Linked DNA regions of Rattus norvegicus. The protein of the gene in region 1 purifies or fractionates together with the protein of each later gene. This does not show direct contact. Links are inferred from orthologs where the notes say so. Each region holds a gene or a part of one and is shown in the gene's direction. Other genes may lie near its edges.

Evidence for each region. The genes of interacting proteins can lie anywhere in the genome.
Region 2: the proteins of Upf1 (region 1) and Upf3a purify together in Homo sapiens (affinity purification with western blotting; 5 studies listed by BioGRID and IntAct, with this or other methods). This does not show direct contact. The link is inferred for Rattus norvegicus from reciprocal best matches to the Homo sapiens genes UPF1 and UPF3A.
Region 3: the proteins of Upf1 (region 1) and Slbp purify together in Homo sapiens (affinity purification with western blotting; 4 studies listed by BioGRID and IntAct, with this or other methods). This does not show direct contact. The link is inferred for Rattus norvegicus from reciprocal best matches to the Homo sapiens genes UPF1 and SLBP.

The regions. Positions count from the first base shown.
Region 1 is NC_086034.1:19,108,242-19,114,561, forward strand, and holds the start of Upf1 (UPF1, RNA helicase and ATPase), read left to right. Parts: upstream 1-2,296; 5' UTR 2,297-2,576; coding exon 2,577-2,792; intron 2,793-6,320. UniProt on the Homo sapiens protein: RNA-dependent helicase required for nonsense-mediated decay (NMD) of aberrant mRNAs containing premature stop codons and modulates the expression level of normal mRNAs.
Region 2 is NC_086034.1:82,462,994-82,468,874, reverse strand, and holds part of Upf3a (regulator of nonsense transcripts 3A), read left to right. Parts: intron 1-227; coding exon 228-334; intron 335-1,698; coding exon 1,699-1,797; intron 1,798-1,913; coding exon 1,914-2,024; intron 2,025-5,711; coding exon 5,712-5,767; intron 5,768-5,859; coding exon 5,860-5,881. UniProt on the Homo sapiens protein: Involved in nonsense-mediated decay (NMD) of mRNAs containing premature stop codons by associating with the nuclear exon junction complex (EJC) and serving as link between the EJC core and NMD machinery.
Region 3 is NC_086032.1:81,301,560-81,307,440, forward strand, and holds the end of Slbp (histone RNA hairpin-binding protein), read left to right. Parts: coding exon 1-115; intron 116-1,686; coding exon 1,687-1,836; intron 1,837-3,207; coding exon 3,208-3,289; intron 3,290-3,984; coding exon 3,985-4,101; 3' UTR 4,102-4,887; downstream 4,888-5,881. UniProt on the Homo sapiens protein: RNA-binding protein involved in the histone pre-mRNA processing.

The DNA.
Region 1 (6,320 bases):
AACTGAGCTCCAAGCAGAGCCCCAGCATCAGTCCTTGGGTCACTTCATTATCTATCTTTCCTGTCTTGACGTCTGAGACCCAGCAAGTGGGTTCATCTCTCCAGAGCGTGAGGTCACAGACCATAGGTCGGTGTATAATTACAGGTCTGGCCATTTTTCCTTCCTAACAGAGTCCTTCACTAAAAAAGAAGAAAAGGGCTGGAGAGGTGGCTCAGCACTTAAGAGCAATGACTGCTCTTCCAAAGGTCCTGAGTTCAATTCCCAGCAACCACATGGTGGCTCACAACCATCTGTAATGGGATCCAATGCCCTCTTCTGCTGTGTCTGAAGACAGCTACAGTGTGCTCATATAAAATCCTTTTAAAAAAAGGTTTATATTAAAGAAGAAGGAAGAGGAGGAGAAGGAGGAGAAGAAACAGTGGCCCCACACTTCCTCTGTGACCTCAGGTTCTTAACAAAGTATACATTGCTGTGACACTGGGACACTGTGGAGAAGTCTCAGACATGCACAGTATGGGCACAAGCCTGTGTGTGCAGGCCATTTACCACAGGCACCTGTAACATCAGACAATGCCATGTGTGCCTCTTCAAGCCCCAGCTTGTGTGAGGCAGGATCTCTTGTCAGCATTGGATATTGCAGGCTGGCCTGCCCCAAGCTTCTGGAGACCCTGCTTCCCATCTTCCCAAAGAGGAGCTGGGGTTACAGGCACATGTCCTCACACCCCAACATTTACATAGGGTCTAGAAATTTGAGCTCGGGTACACTGCGCCATGTCAACAGCCCCCTTGTTTTGGTCTTTAAAATATATTTTAGTCTCTTAAATTGTGTGCATTGAGGCTGGAGAGATGGCTCAGTGAGCAAGAGCCTGTTCTTGCAGAGGATACAGGTTCAATTCCTGGCACCCACAGGCAGCTCACGACCATCTGTAACTCCATTTCTCTGGGGATCATGTGCTCTCTTCTGGCTTCCAAGGGCACTGCATAGACATACATGGTGCACAGGCATGCATGCAGACAAACACTCCTCCATCTCCAGAGTCCTGGGCCTGGGCCTCTACACACAGCATCTTTTTTGTGTTTTGAGATTATGTAATGCTGGGTGTCCTGGACATCGCTCTGTAGACAAGACTGGCTTCAGAGTTAGCAATCCCCCTGCCTCCGACTCCTGAGTGCTTGAATTTTAAGGCACGTGCCACCACATCCAGCCCTGTACTGACTGGGAGAGCCACCTCAGCAGAGGCAGCCACCCTCCTGGGTTTTCCCCTCCCAATAAATCTCCTATGAGGTTTGTTGTGTGCTGTGACTTTGTTGTATTCCTTGGCTCCCAATTGCCAGGATACCTTTTGGAACACAGTGAAACACTTTCTCTGGGGAAACCTCCCCTGCCCAAGCAGAGCGGATCCACTTCTGTGGGGGAAGGCCTTTCCCTTCAGAGCTGCGACACTTACACATCCTCCACTGAGAGTGGGAAGGTAGCACAGGGAGGAAGGAGTGTGTTCCTCTGAGTCTCGATTCTGGCTGTGGATGCTCATCAGTTGGTGGCCTTTGCCTAGCATACAAAAGCTCTGGGTTCTGTGGACAATATCGAATGTACAGTCATCGCACCACCAGGGGCTTTGAGGCAGGAAGATTCCCCAGAGTTCCAAACCAGCCTGGGTTACTATATGAGGCCCTCTTTCAAAACAGGCTAGAGAGATGGCTCAGAGGCAAAGAATTGGCTCCCAGCACTTACAAGAGGGGCTAACAATCATCTGTAACTAGTTCTAGAGGATCTGACCCCTTCTCAGCGATTCCCAGGCTAGCCCGGACCAGTGGGACTTGATCTCAAGATAAAAGAAAGAAGCAGTTATCTTCACAGGCTTCAGGAGTGCCAGGGGTAGCAGTGACTACCATTTGGCAGAATCCCTGCTCTCTACTCATTCAATCGATGAATAGTAAAGATGGCCACGAGTCAAGTGGCAGACGGGGTAACTAGAGCTCAAGGAAGGCAGATGCGCGGTCCCTGTGCCACAGTTTCTACACCCAAGACCTTCTGGAAAGAGCCTCAGTTAGCACCTAATGAACATGCAGCCCAGAAGCCTGGCGGTGAGGATGTCGCAACCCCGCATGCGCATCACTAGGCAGCGGTTGGGGCGGAGCCAAGTTCGCGAGCCCAGGTCCTTTAGGCAGTTGAAGGCCCGCCTCTTCGCGCAGGCGCACGACGAATTCCGCCCTCCCGCTCTGCTCCTAGTGCCCCGGTGCGGTTGGCTACTTTCCGGGAGGGACGCGCGCGCCTGCGCCGGCGTCGGGCTCGCGCACGCGCACCGCAGCGGTGGCGGCGGCGGCGGTTCCTGTCCAGGGGGCTGAGAGCGGCGGTCGGCTTTGAGGCGAGCAGCGTTGCGGAGGGGCGCGGCAGCGGCGGCGGCAACTCAGAGCTCGGAGCCGGAGTCCGGGCTCTGCTTCCAGAGGCCGGCTCGGAGCCCGCCCGGTCCTCAGGGCGGCGGCAGCGGCTGCTCCGGGTTACGGCCTAGGCCTAGGCGAAGCCTCGGGCTCGAGTGCGGTGAGGCGCCGGCGGAAGGCGCGGCCCGGGCGGCAAGATGAGCGTGGAGGCGTACGGCCCCAGCTCTCAGACACTCACCTTCTTGGACACTGAGGAGGCCGAGCTGCTCGGTGCCGACACCCAGGGCTCCGAGTTCGAGTTCACCGACTTCACCCTACCCAGCCAGACGCAGACGCCCCCCGGCGGCCCCGGCGGCGCGGGAGGCCCAGGCGGAGCGGGTGCAGGCGGCGCGGCCGGCCAGCTCGACGCGCAAGTGAGTTGAGCGGCGCATGGCGGCGCCGGAAACCGGGCGGGAGCGGGAGCTGCGGCGCCAGGTCTCAGTTAACCAGCCCTGGGCCCCTGTGAACCTGCGCCAGGTCCGAGTTTGTGCTGGTCCGAGCTACCGGCCCCAGGTCCAGTTAATAAGCCTGGGTGTATGCTTCCTACTCTGGCTCCTTAAACAAAATCCCTATTGACCATCTCTAGTTACCCACCCTAGATTCCTGTTTAACTGCCCAGGTACCTGCCACCTGCCTTGGGTCCTTGTTACCTGTCCTAGATCTCTGCTACCCTACCCTGGTTCCCGTTTACTTACCCCTTTCCCAGATCTCTGCTTCCACCTTCAGCTACCTTTTCCAATACCTCTCCCAGGTCTACCTGCCACAGTCATTGCCATCTGCCTCAGGTCCCTACTACATACCATCTCCTCTAATTCCCTGCCTCTTGTCCTAGCCACCTGCACCTAGTCTCTGCTACCTGTCCTGTTTTCCTCCACCCAGCTAGACTGGGCAGTGACCTGCATTAGTGTCCCTCCTCCTGTATAGCACAGAATCTGCTCCAGCTCAAGGCTTATGCCAGAACTGCCCTCACTCCCCTTCTAGGTGGGTCTAAGGTGACCTACACTAGGTTTCTCTGGCCCTAGTGCTATCCTCTGGACCCACACTGTCCTCCAGGGTCACCTATTTGGCTAGTCCAACCATCCCATCTCACCCTCTTGCCACTTCCATCCACCACGCCTCCAGCCAGGGTTCAAGTTTGGTGGAGGGGCTCTCTGGAGCAAATCTAGGGTTTTGGCGCCTCGGGTGGAAACAGCCCACTTTGTGGCTGGTTAAGGTGGCTGAGAGACAGCTGCTGGTTCGTTTTTTCCTTCTGGGTTGCCTGTTGCTGAGACCAGTGTTATGTAACTCCTAGGCTCTGCTTGGAAAAGTTGGGTTTGAGTTTTGTTCCTTAGAGGCAACCACAATGGGTATCACACGGGTGACTGTGCCCTGGGGAGGGGCTTTTGTTTTGAATGACAGACTGTCGGTGTAGGCTAGGGACAGGCCATCCCTACCTCCCTGTCAAATGGCTGGCTTGGTGTTGGGCACCTCTAGGCTTTGTTTTCCTGTATTCTCCGGGGAGCTGCCGACTAGAGCCACAGGTGTTCTTACAGTCCATGTGTGTGCTTAGGGCTAGGGAGCCACCACCAGTCTCCAGCAGTGATCTCAGACCGAGTTCCGGGAGGGCCTTCGAGCTGGCTGGTTGAGTCATATTTGTGGGTAGACCACCCACTTGGGCTCATTTTCAGCCCTAATAGGAGAAGAAGGCTGAGTCAGCCCCTACTGCGGTGCAGGATCAGGTGTGCCTGCGTGTTGTTTCTAGCTATTTACCTTTAGCGTAAGGAGGTGGAGAGAGGGCAGGTTGCCTGGAGGAGTGAAGTGGCCCAGAAGGCCAGTCCTCCTGTTAGTTTCCCCACTAGGTAGACCTACTTACCTACCTTCCTTCCTTCCTTCCTTCCTTCCTTCCTTCCTTCCTTCCTTCCTTCCTTCCAGCCTTATGGGCCTGGAGAGGGGCACTGTGCAGCAGGCTGTGATGGCACAGCTGGGGAGACCAGGAGTGGAAGTGGGGTGCTTCATCTCAAGGTCTTTTAGCTCTAGCTAATGTACAAAGCAGACTTGTGCTATGCGTGTGCTCACATGGGTGTGCCCTGCTCCGCCAGTTGAAACCATAGATTGAGCCATGAGCTGCCGCCCACCTGTGGCCTCTCATCATAAGGGAGGGAGGGAGGGAGGGAGGGAGGAGGGAAGAGATGGAGGAAGGGAGGAAGGGAGAATGGGAAGGAGGGAGGGAGGGCCTTCAATCCTGTATTAGGAAGACCTGTATCTGTGGGCAGAAAGTGAGCAAAATTGGAAAGTGGAAAAAATCCTTTGCACACCCAGTGTCCTCAGCCACCAAAAACATTGCTTTTCGTTATTTATCCTTGGAGGTGAATGGGTCACACAGGGGATCCTAGGAGGATAGACCCCCTACTCAGTAGGTTGAGCTGCCCCTGTGGGCTGCTGGCAGTTCTCTTCTGGCTTTATTGAAGCAGAATCATGGAACCTGCATATATCCCTGGAAAGCTGACAGGACAGTGGCCTTTTGGGCCACCATCATTAATACCAAGTAATGTCTCAGCATCCTGAGTCCCTGTACCCCCAGCCTCTCTCTTCAGCCACCAAGAATCCTGTGGCCTCTGTGGATGTGAATGTCTCAGGCCCTTCCTTTGCTGGATAGATGGCATAGTATACTTGTCCTGTGTCTCTCATGTTTGTGGTTCATTACTTTGGAGTGCAGACAAACCACAGGGCCCTGTTGTTACTGTCATAACCTGAGTGCCCCTGTGCTGGTATGTGTTGGTGTATTCTTTTTGGGACTGAGTGGCTGCACTGCACTGAGCCGGAAGGTACCTTGGGAGAAGTTTATAGAGGAAGAAGCTTATTCTGGAGTCCTGTGTCCCTCTGCATGTGTGGCTCTGGATACTGACCCTGGGAATTTGACCCTGAAGTCTAGAGGTAGAGGACTGTTGGCTCAATGTTGGAGAACCCCATTTTGTGTGTGAAAGGCCCTACTGTTCATTAGAACACTTGAGGGTCCAGGAAGAGTGTGCTGGCACTGTTTTGCAGAGTCCCTGAGATAAGACAGGCTGGTTTCCCCGATCTTGACTTTCAGATCCCTTTTCCTTAGAGAACCAAGAGGCGACGTGAGTTGTCACTTGAATGCAGGCTTGTGGGAGAGACCCCTGGTCTCAGCTCCTGAGTGCTGCTGTCACCTTTCTTTCTGACAGTGAAGTCGGTGGGAACAGGACCCACTAATGGAGAAGAAGTATCAGGGCTTGACTGTAGACACTATCAGGATAAGAACGACCAAAGAGGGAGCTGGGGCCAGGGTAGGGGGCACCAGATAGGATTGAGTTGCCCTTGTTGGGATGTGATGGGTCTTTGGGGACCTGTGGCATCTCCACTGTCACATGCTTTTTAGCACATAGGCCTTCTGCCATCAGTGAAATAGCAAAAATCAGAATGCTAGAAAACAGATGCCACTGTGTGCCCATACTGGAGACTTAGGATTTAATGGCAACAAGGACTCTGATATGCTCCTGTGCTCCAGTACCTCCTGGTCTGTCTTCTTCACAGGGACCTATCATCCCGTCCAGCCTCACTGTCCACAGGCGGCTCCTTAGCCTCATGGGCCACATCATGCCTGCTACGGTTCAGCCTCCTGTACGGTCCCATTGTGGGTGTGTGGAAACCTGTCCTCTGTTGAAGTGCTGAGGCTCTGAGAGCAGAACTGTGGGTGCATGACTATGACATTTGTCATATTTAGCCCCTTCACCCAGCTCTGTCTTACTAGGAGAGAAGTGAGCAAATCAAGATCTCTCAAGGGCTCTGCCTCTGTGAGCCCTCCTCACTGCTGGGAACAGCTGTTATAAAGTGAGACAGTAGTCACTGTGGCTCTCCTTTGGTGCAGTTCCCTGGGCAGCACATGCACCCATGAGGCCCAT
Region 2 (5,881 bases), about 63 Mb from region 1:
TCTTCCTCCTCCTCTTCCTCTTTTTCTTCCTCCTCTTCCTCCTCCCCCTCCTCATTCTCCTCTTCTTCCTCCTCTTCCTCTTCCTTTTTTTGCTAAGGAATACCCAGATTGTTAAAATTAACTGAGCAGTGATTCTTTGGCATAAAAAAGTGTTTGCTTATTCATAAAAGATAAGGCCAAATTAAGCGTCGTACAGCTTTACTAACCATCGCTGTCTCGGGTTTCAGCCTCTACCCTCACCTCTACTCCAGAGCGTACATTAATTTTAGGAACCCTGATGACATCCTGCTGTTCAGAGACCGTTTTGATGGATACATCTTCATTGGCAATAAAGGTTAGTGAGTTTCAGTTAACTTCTCAAATAAGGTCATAAACGTTTACTGTTACTGTATCGCGTGCTGTCGAGGCTTATAAACCAAAGAATCCCAGACATTCTGTGTGAGGAGAACAGGAATGCACCATTGCTGGAGAGTGGGTGTTCGCGCGTTCCTTTTCCAAGTTACATTTACGCAGGAATCCAGAGTACTGGCCATGATTGCGGTTTCTTGAAAGTGTTGCAGAGGGGCATATGGTCATGAATAGCAGCCCTGGAGCATGCGGTGCGGTCTCCCCCTCAGGGACTCTGCTCCTGAACTTTCTGCATCTGTTTTTATATTCTTCCTTCCCTGTCCTGTCCAACTGCCCTGTGTTATATTTTCTGCCTTAAGGTTTGTAAACATTCTGTAGGAAGCTCTTTTCTGCCCTCCCCAGACATTCTTTCCCCACCCATCCCCCTCCCAATACTGAACTCCTCCATCTCTCCTCCACAACTTCGCGGTCCCTTCTCCGTTGTGGCGAGCAGAAGGTCAGGTTGTAGTTTCTGTGAGTCTGTGAGTGTCAAGCAGGTTTAGGGCTCAGGCTATTGGGCATTTTAGTTCACTGCTGACTCCTTTATTCAGCTGATCTCTTCATTTTAAATATTAGTAAAATATATGCATCTGAAATCATCTTATCTCCCCCTCCCCTTTTTGAGATAGACTCTTTTAGCTCAGGCTGGCCTTAAAGCCTCAGTGATTAATTCCCCTGCCTCCTGAGTGACTCGTGGTCCTCCTACCTTCTCTCTCTGTGTACGTGTGTGTGTGTGTGTGTGTGTGTGTGTGTGTGTGTGTGTGTGTGTGTGTGTGTACTATGTGCAGGTGTCCTCAGAAGTCATAAGAGGGAATTGGGTTTTCTGGCCCTGGACGTATAGGTTTTGGTGAGCCACCTAATGTGGTTTATGCAAGAACAGCAGTTACTCTCAACCACTGAGTTATCGCTCTAACACAAAACACCTAACATCAAAATAGTTGACTGTAACAAAAAGGCATGACTGAAGGTCCGTTCAGACATCATTTGGAAGTAATAGGGAAGAGTTGTGTTTACGGACCTGTGCATTTCTCCCTTGTCACTGAGCTGTTTTATGCTGTGAGTCCTCTGATGATGGACCACTGCGTGTGGTGAGTGGTGCTGTGAGTCCCCTGATGACGGACCACTGCGTGTGGTGAGTAGTGCTGTGAGTCCCCTGATGATGTCGTGAGAGTTGCTTCTCTTCACCACTTCCTGGAAGCAGGTTGGATCTGAAGCTTTAACCCCACGTAGATAGACGCGGCGTTAGATACTGCTTTCCCAAGGCGAGTAGAGTGGAGTTCACAGTGACCCTTGGAATATCTCTCCTTCCAGGCCTGGAGTACCCTGCAGTGGTGGAGTTTGCTCCATTCCAGAAGATTGCCAAAAAGAAGGTGAAGAAAAAGGATGCCAAGACCGGAAGCATCGAAGACGGTGAGTCCTTTTCAAAAGCTGATTTATAAATCTGTAGATTAACTACACTGACCAAGCATGACCTACCGTTGGAGGGGGGTACCTGATTCATTCATTCGTTCTGTTTTAAACTGCAGACCCAGAGTATAAACAGTTCCTGGAGTCGTACAGCTTGGAGGAAGAAAAGACCAGCGCTAGTCCTGAGACACTGCTGGGAGAGATAGAGGCGAAGACGAGAGAGTTGCTGGGTCAGTTTTGCCTGTGTGTTCATTGAGATGCTTACTGATGGAGTATATGTTTAATTCTCCATTTTTTAACATCACAGGCTGGATGGAAACAGTATTTTCTTCTTTCTACCAAAGAGCAATAGCATGGAGAAATATTTCTGAGCCTTTCTTGATGAAGACTATGCTTCTAGGGCCTTTGTTTAAAATGGCCGTGCTGCCACAGACAAGCGCATGCCCTTAGCTGCTCAGAGAGGAGCTTTTGTCACAGCATTACTGTCTCTGCAGAGCAGCCGCGGGTGAGCCTTGGGAGCCTGTAGAGACAAGACACTTGGCTCATACAGGAAGCTAAGAATCTGAGAAAGCTCTTCTGTCAGTGCGTGAGCCCAGCTAGAGTCTAGCATCTGGTTTGAATCCCCATAGAACTTCTGTTTTAGAAATGTTTGTCTCTTCAGAAAATATGTGTGCAGACATGAGACCCCTTTGGTTTTCACCAGGCACACTTAGTTCAGCCTCAGACCCACCCAAATGTCCCATTTCCTGATGGTCTCAGTATTAAACCTCTCCTCGAGGGTCTGGAGAGATAGTTAAGAGCATTGTTGATCTTCCAAAGGTCCCGGGTTGGATTTCCAGCACACAAATGGTGGCTCACAGCAGTCTATAACCGCAGTCCCAGGGGATCCAGCGCCCTCTTCTGGCCTCTGTGGGTACTGCACATACATGGTAGACACACAAATATGCAGAGTATTCATACACATACAGATTTTAAAAACAGAACCCTTTTTCCCACGACCGAGCACCCTAACATGTCCTGCTCACCTGTCAAGACTTGTATAACACCTCACGTATAATCGGTTTACTGGTTTCCACATGAATTCCCTTCCCGATTTCCTCCCCTACTTGCACAGTGGAACAATATATGCATCTTGTAGTTACAGAAAAGAGATGTTTAAAAGTGAGTGTGTGAATGAAGTGAGTGAATGAAGAGACCGGAGTCTGAAACTCTGTAGGAACAGCATGTAGCTCATGTGACTGCTGAGATGTAAGGAGCCCATGCTGAGCCCTGACACCTGCCACCTCCCAGGGAGAGGCGTGGGCTAATTCACACCCATTATCGCTATGTCCGCGGTGCTGCTGAGTGCCAGAGAGAGGCAGGTCTGGCTGACAGCTCGCTCCCCAGAGAAGCCTGTCGTGTTATGCCGAGCATGTTTTAGAAGTCAAATATTGGCAGAAAGGAGGATAATGACTGGATTAGTGTGGGGGCTGTGGGGGCTCCGGGGCAGAAAGAACGAAAGACCAGGGGGGTTCAGATGGGCAGGCGAGTTAGTTGTGGCTCCACGTATACCTAGAAAAGACAGACAAGGAGACTTCGGGGACAAAACTCGAGATTTGACTCAAACATGTTAAATTTATGAAGGTAGAAAAGGCAGCTTAGGTACTTCAGAAGTCACCTCAAATGTCCCCTTGCCATCAGGGCGTCACTACAGGCTACTTTGAGACGTCCTCTTTGAGGATTGGAACCTAGTTTGTTCCCACGGAGGGCGTCTGTCCTTGGGGCCTCAGCCTGCTGGATCTTGCTCAGAGCTTCATTCCAGATGTGGGCCGTGGAGGCTGCATCTGTAGTTAACTGAGTCTGCCTTTAATCAGAATCTCGGACATGAAGTTCAAGGTTTAAATAAAGTCATAAGCTTGTGTGGACAGGATTTCCGACTGGACCAGCTTAGGATTATCTCTGAGGCTTGGCACTTCATGGCCACGGCAAACACCATCTCCTTGTTGAGCTCTGTAAACTGTTGTAATTAGGAGGGAGGAGAGATAAGGTAGTCTTATTGAACTTTATCTTGGGATCCTTTGTTTTGCAAATCTGATAGCCAATGTGTCTCTTTAAAGTTAATTCATTTCTGCCAGACTGATTACATCCACGACATAGCTCCTGCCATAATGCGTGGGCATTACTGAGCATGCCCACTCTCTGTGAGGCTGAGTACCATGTGTCTCTAGCCAGGTATCCAAGGTCCTCAGTATCACGTGAACTCTCAGGTATGTCCAAGGATTCTTCCCCGCCTGTTCACTATGAGATCTTAAAGGTCCGTAGAGCAGGCCCATCCCCATCTTCTCGCCATGCGCTCACATTTGAAGACTGTGGAGCAGTGTATCTGTTTTGACTGGCCTATCTCATAAAAGTACGTATAGAATTTCCCACTTGTGTTGTTACGTCAGAGCTCAAAATGTTACTTGGGGGCATTTGATTTTGGACTTTTAAATTGGGTTGGCATGTATTAAAGACTGTTTTATCGGTGCTGGAAAGATGGCTCAGCACCGAGAGCACTTGTTTCTGTAGAGGAGAGCAGTTCCCAGCTCCCACACGGTTACTGACTTCAGTTCCAGGGAATCTGACAGCCTCTTCTGACCACCACAGACACCAGGCACAAACATGGTACACATCATACATACAGACAAAACACTCTTACAGATAAAATAAAATTAAATAGATCTTTTTTTAAAAAAAAACCCAACAGTGGAAGAAGAAAAAATTCTGAAAATGTGCATAGCAGGAAAGTAAATTTGTAAACATTACTTCAGAAGTAAAAATAAATTAGTAGCATTTGAGACGCTTCCGATGTCATACATACACATTTTCTGTCAACTGTGTGAGCGATAGTTTATGGCTTTTCTTTTAGTTTCTATGAATGCAAGCTTTATTGTTAATGTACCTTCCATAGACATAAATCCCAACAAGGAGGTTGACAGGTCAGAAACCCGTGACATGTTATCTCTGCTACGGTACCCAGAAGAGAGTGTGGGACTCCTCAAGGCTTCCAAAGCTTCGGGTCCAGGGTCATTTTGAGGGGACTCCTTGGGGTTCTGCCTGGTGGTTCCTCTTGACGTACAGTGGCAGCAGCACATTTTGCAGTTCTCGCAGGCCTTAGACGACCCCTTGAGCATCGTCTCGCGCCTCTTCTTGAAGAACCAGTGCCTAATGCATCCTTTGCCAGTTTGGGTTCCTCGGCCAAGGCCTCAGGAGTCTCCTCGTTAGGGTTGGGGTCTGTCTCGAAGCGCTTTCTTAGCTGCTGTAACTGCTCGCAGGAGAACCGAGAGCTTCTGTCCATGCAAGGAAACCGTGGCGTTGTCGCCACCTCAGTTACTCCAGGACTGCAGCACACTCGGGTCTGCTCTTCAGTTTGAGGCTCTCTTATGACCTTTTCTAAGAAAAAATGTGTGACTTTCTCTTCACTGTTCAGTCGCCTGTGGTTCAGTAAATAACTGCATACCCATTCTCCTCCTACAAACAGCTCTGATTAAACTCATTGGGAAACAATGACAAAGGGGGACTGGAGGAGGAGGAGTTGGGAAGAAAAGGGTCAGCAGGAGAGGGCGGGGTCGTGGGTAGGTCGTAGAGTGTAACTGTGGTCAAAGTACATTTTATATGTATAAGAAATGTCATAGTAGCCCATTATTATGCATAATTGATATATGCTAGTAAGAACTTAGAAGAGTGGTATGTCAGTGGATACAGAGTGGTCAGTACCTACAAATTACTCGAATATGTAACAACAGAATAAGAGTGCTCCCAGGTACAGGGCATACTCACGTACATTTTAGAGATAGTGTTCTTCCCCTAATTATTTTAATGTTAAATTGGAAATAAGTACTTAAAATAAATCTGAACTTACAAGTTATGTGTAATGTATTATAATTTTTGTTCTTTAGCCAGAAGAACCACACCTCTTTTGGAATATATTAAAAACAGAAAATTAGAAAAGCAGGTAGGTGGCGTTTGACCTGGTGAGCGTCTGTGCTGTACCTGCTGCTTCCACACAGGAGCCTTACATTTGTGTCTGACTGTATGTACCTTCAGAGACTCCGGGAAGAAAAACGCG
Region 3 (5,881 bases), on another chromosome or scaffold:
CTTCAGTGCCTGCTGACGTGGAGACAGATGAAAGTGTCTTGATGAGAAGGCAGAAGCAGATCAACTATGGGAAGAACACTATGGCCTATGATCGATACATTAAAGAGGTGCCCAGGTAGTGTCACACAGGCCTGTTCTAACCCTGTTCCACAACATTGTGCCTGTTAAGGAGCTGCTTATATTAGACACATACGCTAGGAAGTGTTTATTACTAACTCATAAGAATTTACATGCAGGGGTTGGGGATTTAGCTCAGTGGTAGAGCGCTTGCTAGGCAAGCGCAAGGCCCTGGGTTTGGTCCCCAGCTCTGGAAAAAAAAAAAAAAGAATTTACGTTCAAACCAAGAATAGATTGGCATCAGAAAGGCTGTGGATGGGGGGCTGGGGATTTAGCTCAGTGGTAGAGCGCTTACCTAGGAAGCACAAGGCCCTGGGTTCGGTCCCCAGCTCCGAAAAAAAGAACCAAAAAAAAAAAAAAAGAAAGGCTGTGGATGTTTTGACATCCTCAGGACTTAGAAAGTGTGTCATTTTATAGAGTATGTAGTTATTAAAATACACAATAGGAAAGTAAACAATTATCTAATTGGAGAGCTGGGCATGGTGGTATTTTAATGATTGTGTGTATGAAGCCTGGTCATGGTGGACATACCTTTAATCCCAGCACTCAGGAGGCAGAGACAGGCAGAGCTCTCAGTTCAAGGACAGCCTCGTCTACAGTGTCAAGACAGCTAAGGCTTCACAGAGAAACCCTGTCTAGAAAAACCAGAGAGAAGGAGAGATTATATATGAGGGTTTTTCCCCTCTGCATGCATGTACAGTATGCCATGTGCATGCCGAGTACCTCTGGAGGCCAGACGAGGGTGTCGGAGCCCCTGGAACTATAATTACAGATGGTTTTGAGCCACTCTGGATTCTGAGAGTCCTTAAGTGAAAAAAAAAAATCATTACCCTGTCTCCCCTTTTTCTCTCTTTTCCAAGGCAGGATTTCTTTGTGCAGCCTTGGCTGTCTTAAAACTCACTTTGTAGACCAGGCTGCCCTCAAACTTAAGAGATCCACCTAACTGCCTCCAGAGTGCTGGGTTAAAGGCATGTGTCAGCTTTATTGTTCTCTTGAACAGACATATAATATGGCTGTGTATATGTGTCTTTTAAGCAGAATTGGGATTAAAACATTTTCTAGAATATGGGGTATTTTTTGTTTTGTTTTGTTTTTTTCTTTTTTTCGGAGCTGGGGACCAAACCCAGGGCCTTGCGCTTGCTAGGCAATCGCTCTACATCTGAGCTAAATCCCCAACCCCTAGAATATGGGTTTTAAAGGAATAGTAAGATTTTAAGAAAGGGTCTTGCTGGGTGTCTTTTATTTACCATTCTGCCCCAGCCTCCCAAGTGCTGAGAGTATAGGTTTGTGCCTGGTTGAGATACTACTTTTAGTGGATTTCTTTGTTCGCCTTATGGACTCTCAGTCATTACTAGGTGTGGTAGTGCATGCTTTTAATCTGGGCAATCAAGAGGCAGACATGGGAGGATCTCTGAATTTGAGACCAGCCTGATCCACATAGCAAGTGCTGAGCTTACATATGGAGACCCTGACTATGAAAAGCTAAAAATAAATAAAAAGAAAAGAGAATATAAGTTATTTGTTAAATGTTGACCTCAAAGTGTGCTAAGGTAATCTTATGTCCTGCAGACACCTGCGACAGCCTGGAATCCATCCCAGGACCCCCAACAAATTTAAGAAGTATAGCCGGCGGTCATGGGACCAGCAGATCAAACTCTGGAAGGTGGCTTTGCATTTTTGGGATCCTCCTGCTGAAGAAGGGTGTGATTTGCAAGAAATGTATGTCTTTGTTTCTTTCTTTATCTCCTGTCACAGTGACAGATTCCCTGGACACTGTTGAGAACAGACACTAGCCTTCAGGCTTGATTTATTATTGCACAGTTGTGGATGCTAGGAAGGAATTTGAGAGTTAGAAAACAGCTCAGTCTAGGACACTCGGCTGTGTGTACATTTCAGAGGAAAACCTTGGGTGTCAGTTCTTTATACCTGTCTGAGGTAGGTTCTTGTGTTCACTGTGTTTGTTACTTTGGGCCAGGTAGCCTTGGGAGCTTTCTTTGACATGCATTCTGGGATTCCAAAATTAGAAGCTTCTGCCTATTTTCCACTGAGCAATATCCCCAGTTCTATTTGAGTGGGTTTTTTTTTTTTTTTTTTTTTTTTGGTTTAGATTTTGGACCTAGGGTTTCTCTGTAGTCCTGACATCCTGGACCTAGAAGTGTAGACCAGGTAGGCCTTGAATGTAGAGTTCCTCCTGCACTCCTGAATACTGGGATTAAAGGTTGCACCACTATCTCCTGTCCTCTTTTTAGTCTGGTTTATACATTTTTTACGTATGGGTGCTTTGCATCTATGCCTGCAAAACAGAAGGCATTGGATCTCATTATAGGTGGCTATAAGCCACCATTCAGTTTTTGGAACTTGAACTCAGAACTTTTGAAAGAGCAGTTAGTGCTCTTAGACACTAAGCCATTTCTTCAGGGCTCATAGACCCCAATTGATTCATGCTAGGCAAACACTGTTCAGACCAAGCCACATCCCTAGCTGTATCTTTTTGGTGTTTTGATCAGGGTCTTAACTCTGTATCACAGGCACACCTTGAAGTTCTGACTTAAAAGGTATTGACACCCTACCATTCCTCTCTTGCTACTACTTTTCAAGAATGTTTACAGGGCCAGGAATTAGGACAGCCAGAGTGTATAGATAGATAAACAAAAAAGGGAGCTGGAGAGATGGCTCAGTGGTTAAAGAGCACTGACTGCTCTTCCAATTCCCCACATGGCAACTCATACCTGTCTAACTCCAGTTCTGGAGGGTCTGTCATTTTCTCACAGACATGTAGCAAAACACCACTTTACATGAAAGGAAGAAAAGAGAAGGAAAGAAAGAAAAGAAAGAAAGGAGAATCGGGAAAAGGATATTTATGGATATATGTGAATAACAGCATAGATTCTCAGACTAGTCCTCCAAGCTGGGTGACCTTTCACCTGGGAGTTGCTGCCAGCTTTCTGTGTTGGGTTGATTGGTCAGGAATGAAATTTGGCAAATGTGAAATGTTCCATGGGAAACAACACTGTTGTGGGTGGTGTTTGGCTTTAGCAAACAACCTTTCTGATTGTAACAGGTGACTGATAAGCTTATTTTATTTCTTAGACAACCTGTAGATCTTGGGGAAATGGAGACAGAATTCACAGAAAGCAGCTCTGAGTCCCAGACAAGTTCACAGGATAACTTTGTAAGTACTTTTAGTCTGTCTCTCAGCTTGGGTGTTTTAAGTCATTTGAGTTATGACTGGGGGTGGTAGAGTATTTTAATACCAGTGTGCGAATGAATTGAAGGCATTCAAAGCAGAGGTGTGCTGATCTTTTAAGTTCCAAGCCAGCATCTCTAACTTCCAGGCCAGCATGGTGTGTGTGGCAAAATCCAGGCCTGCTAGGTTGCTAGGACTACATAAGGGCTTCCCTCATTTCCCAGTATAATCTTTCTCATTGGTTTAGTAGTTAATGACGTCGTACATTTGTTCAAATCTGTTCACATTTATACAGTTTACCTAAAAAGATGCCCTTATATCTGTGAATAAGACCTTGCACTATTGTATATAGGCCAATATTGTATATTTGTATATATATAATACCTAGATTCTGAAGTGGCAAAACATAAAAGACTTCAAACACAAGCAGTTATAAGCTATTCTTTTGCCATATTTGGTCATGGCCATGAACAAAGATGCATTGCCTTATTCTGGCTCCCATCTGTGTCACTCCAGTTGTACTCAGGTTTATTGATCCTTTTCATAGTATACCATGTGGTTGTGACAAGTCAGAAATGAATATGTATATACACTAAAGAAATGTCTTCGTGCTCAGAGTAATAACTAAGGTGAAGCTTGTGCGATGGACTGATGCAGGTGTGACTACCTCTATTTTCCAGGATGTATATGCTGGCACACCCACCAAAGTCAGACATGTGGACTGCCAAGTGGAGGACGAGTTTGATTTGGAAGCTTGTTTAACTGAACCTTTGAAAGACTTCTCTGCCATGAGTTAACTGCCCCCTGGTGGTTACTCTGAGAAATACTTGGCTCTGCCTGGCTGCCTGGAAGGCATGAGTTGCTGTGCATTTGTATTTGTTTTCTCTGTTAAGAATTTATTTTCTCATGATAAATAGTTTTTCTTGCCTTATTTTTATGTATGGTGAATGTGTTACGCATGTTTTAAATTGTAAATGAAGCTGAATCCAGTGAAGACTTAACCCTATTACCTTTCTGCCTCCTAAGTTAGACAACAGGATGCGTGTGGTTTTCTACCAGAACTTGGGACTCCAGCTACCACGTTTCAAATGGGTTGGCCACGGATTTTAACCGTGTGTTTATGGGACCAATTTAGAATTGGCTGCCCTTTAGGTAACTGATGAAGAATTCTCAGTCAGGCAGCTGCAGTGACTTTGTAAAAACTTATTTTCTGGTCTTTTATCAATGTGAATGTAGCTTTCCCTCATACAGAGCTCTGAGCAAAGATGTTAAGCTGTTATATTAATGGGCTTTTATGTAAGTTATATAGTTTTAATTTGGAACTTGAAATAGCATTAGTGTGAGGTAAGTATTTTAGTAAATGCTCTGTGAGTTGATGCAGAAGAGAGGAAGAGAGGGATTTAGAAAGAACTTTGTTTTTTTTTTTTTTTTTTAATGATCAGTTAATTTACCATGTAATATTGCTGTAAATGATGTGTACAGATAACTCTGTTCATGTATTCAATTGTAAACTTGTCAATATTTGCATTTCTATTGCTTTTGTATGGAATGATAATTGCAAAAATAAAGATGCTTTAACTGATTATAACATTGCCCTGTACTGTGTGAAGGGGTCAGGGCAAACTTTTCTTTTGTACCTGAAGCATTTGTTTGGCATAAGGGAATGTTATCTCCCTTTGGTGAGAAAACCATGTACAGACACTGCTGACGTGTTAAGTTCCCATCCATCTGATCTGTAAGGGGTCCTTGATTACAATGCTCTGACAAGCCTCACCATTTTGTGCCTAAGCACAAAGGGCCTTTGTATATTTGACATTTGTTCTCTGCAGGTTCTATGTCAGCCACAGTAGTGACCCTGAAGACTTTATGGTTGGTTTGAGACCATCAGGTTGAGATAAATGAGTAGGGTCAGGTAGGGATTCTGGAGATGCCTGGTAGGTGGCATTATGAGTTACGCCTTGAAAGACAAGCAAGTACAAAGGCCCTGAGGTAGAAGTATAGATAAGCTGACTATGAGCCTGTGTGGAGGCTAGGAGGACCTGAAACAGTGAAAGCTGGAGGAGGAAAGTAGGAAAACCATCCTTGTGCTGGATGTTGCTGTCTCGGGGGGGTGGGGGGGGGCAGTACCTCCTGGCTTCTGCCATGAATAGTGGGGTTATTGATATGCTCAAGGAAGGTCTGAATCCAGAGTGGAATCTGAGTAACTTCCTCTCCTGATGGCAAACAGTGCTAAAATTAAATGAATTCCAGAATACAGATTTTCTGGTAAAGATAAGAATTAAGATTTAGGGGTTGGGGATTTAGCTCAGTGGTAGAGTGCTTGCCTAGGAAGCGCAAGGCCCTGAGTTCGGTCCCCAGCTCTGGAAAAAAAGAACCAAAAAAAAAAAAAGATTTAGGGGGTTGGGGATTTAGCTCAGTGGTAGAGCGCTTGCCTAGCAAGCGCAAGGCCCTGGGTTCGGTCCCCAACTCCGAAAAAAAGAAAAAGAAAAAAAAAAAAAAAGATTTAGGGCTGGAGAGATGGCTCAGTGGTTAAGAGCACTGACTGCTCTTCCAGAGGTTCTGAATTCAATTCCTAGC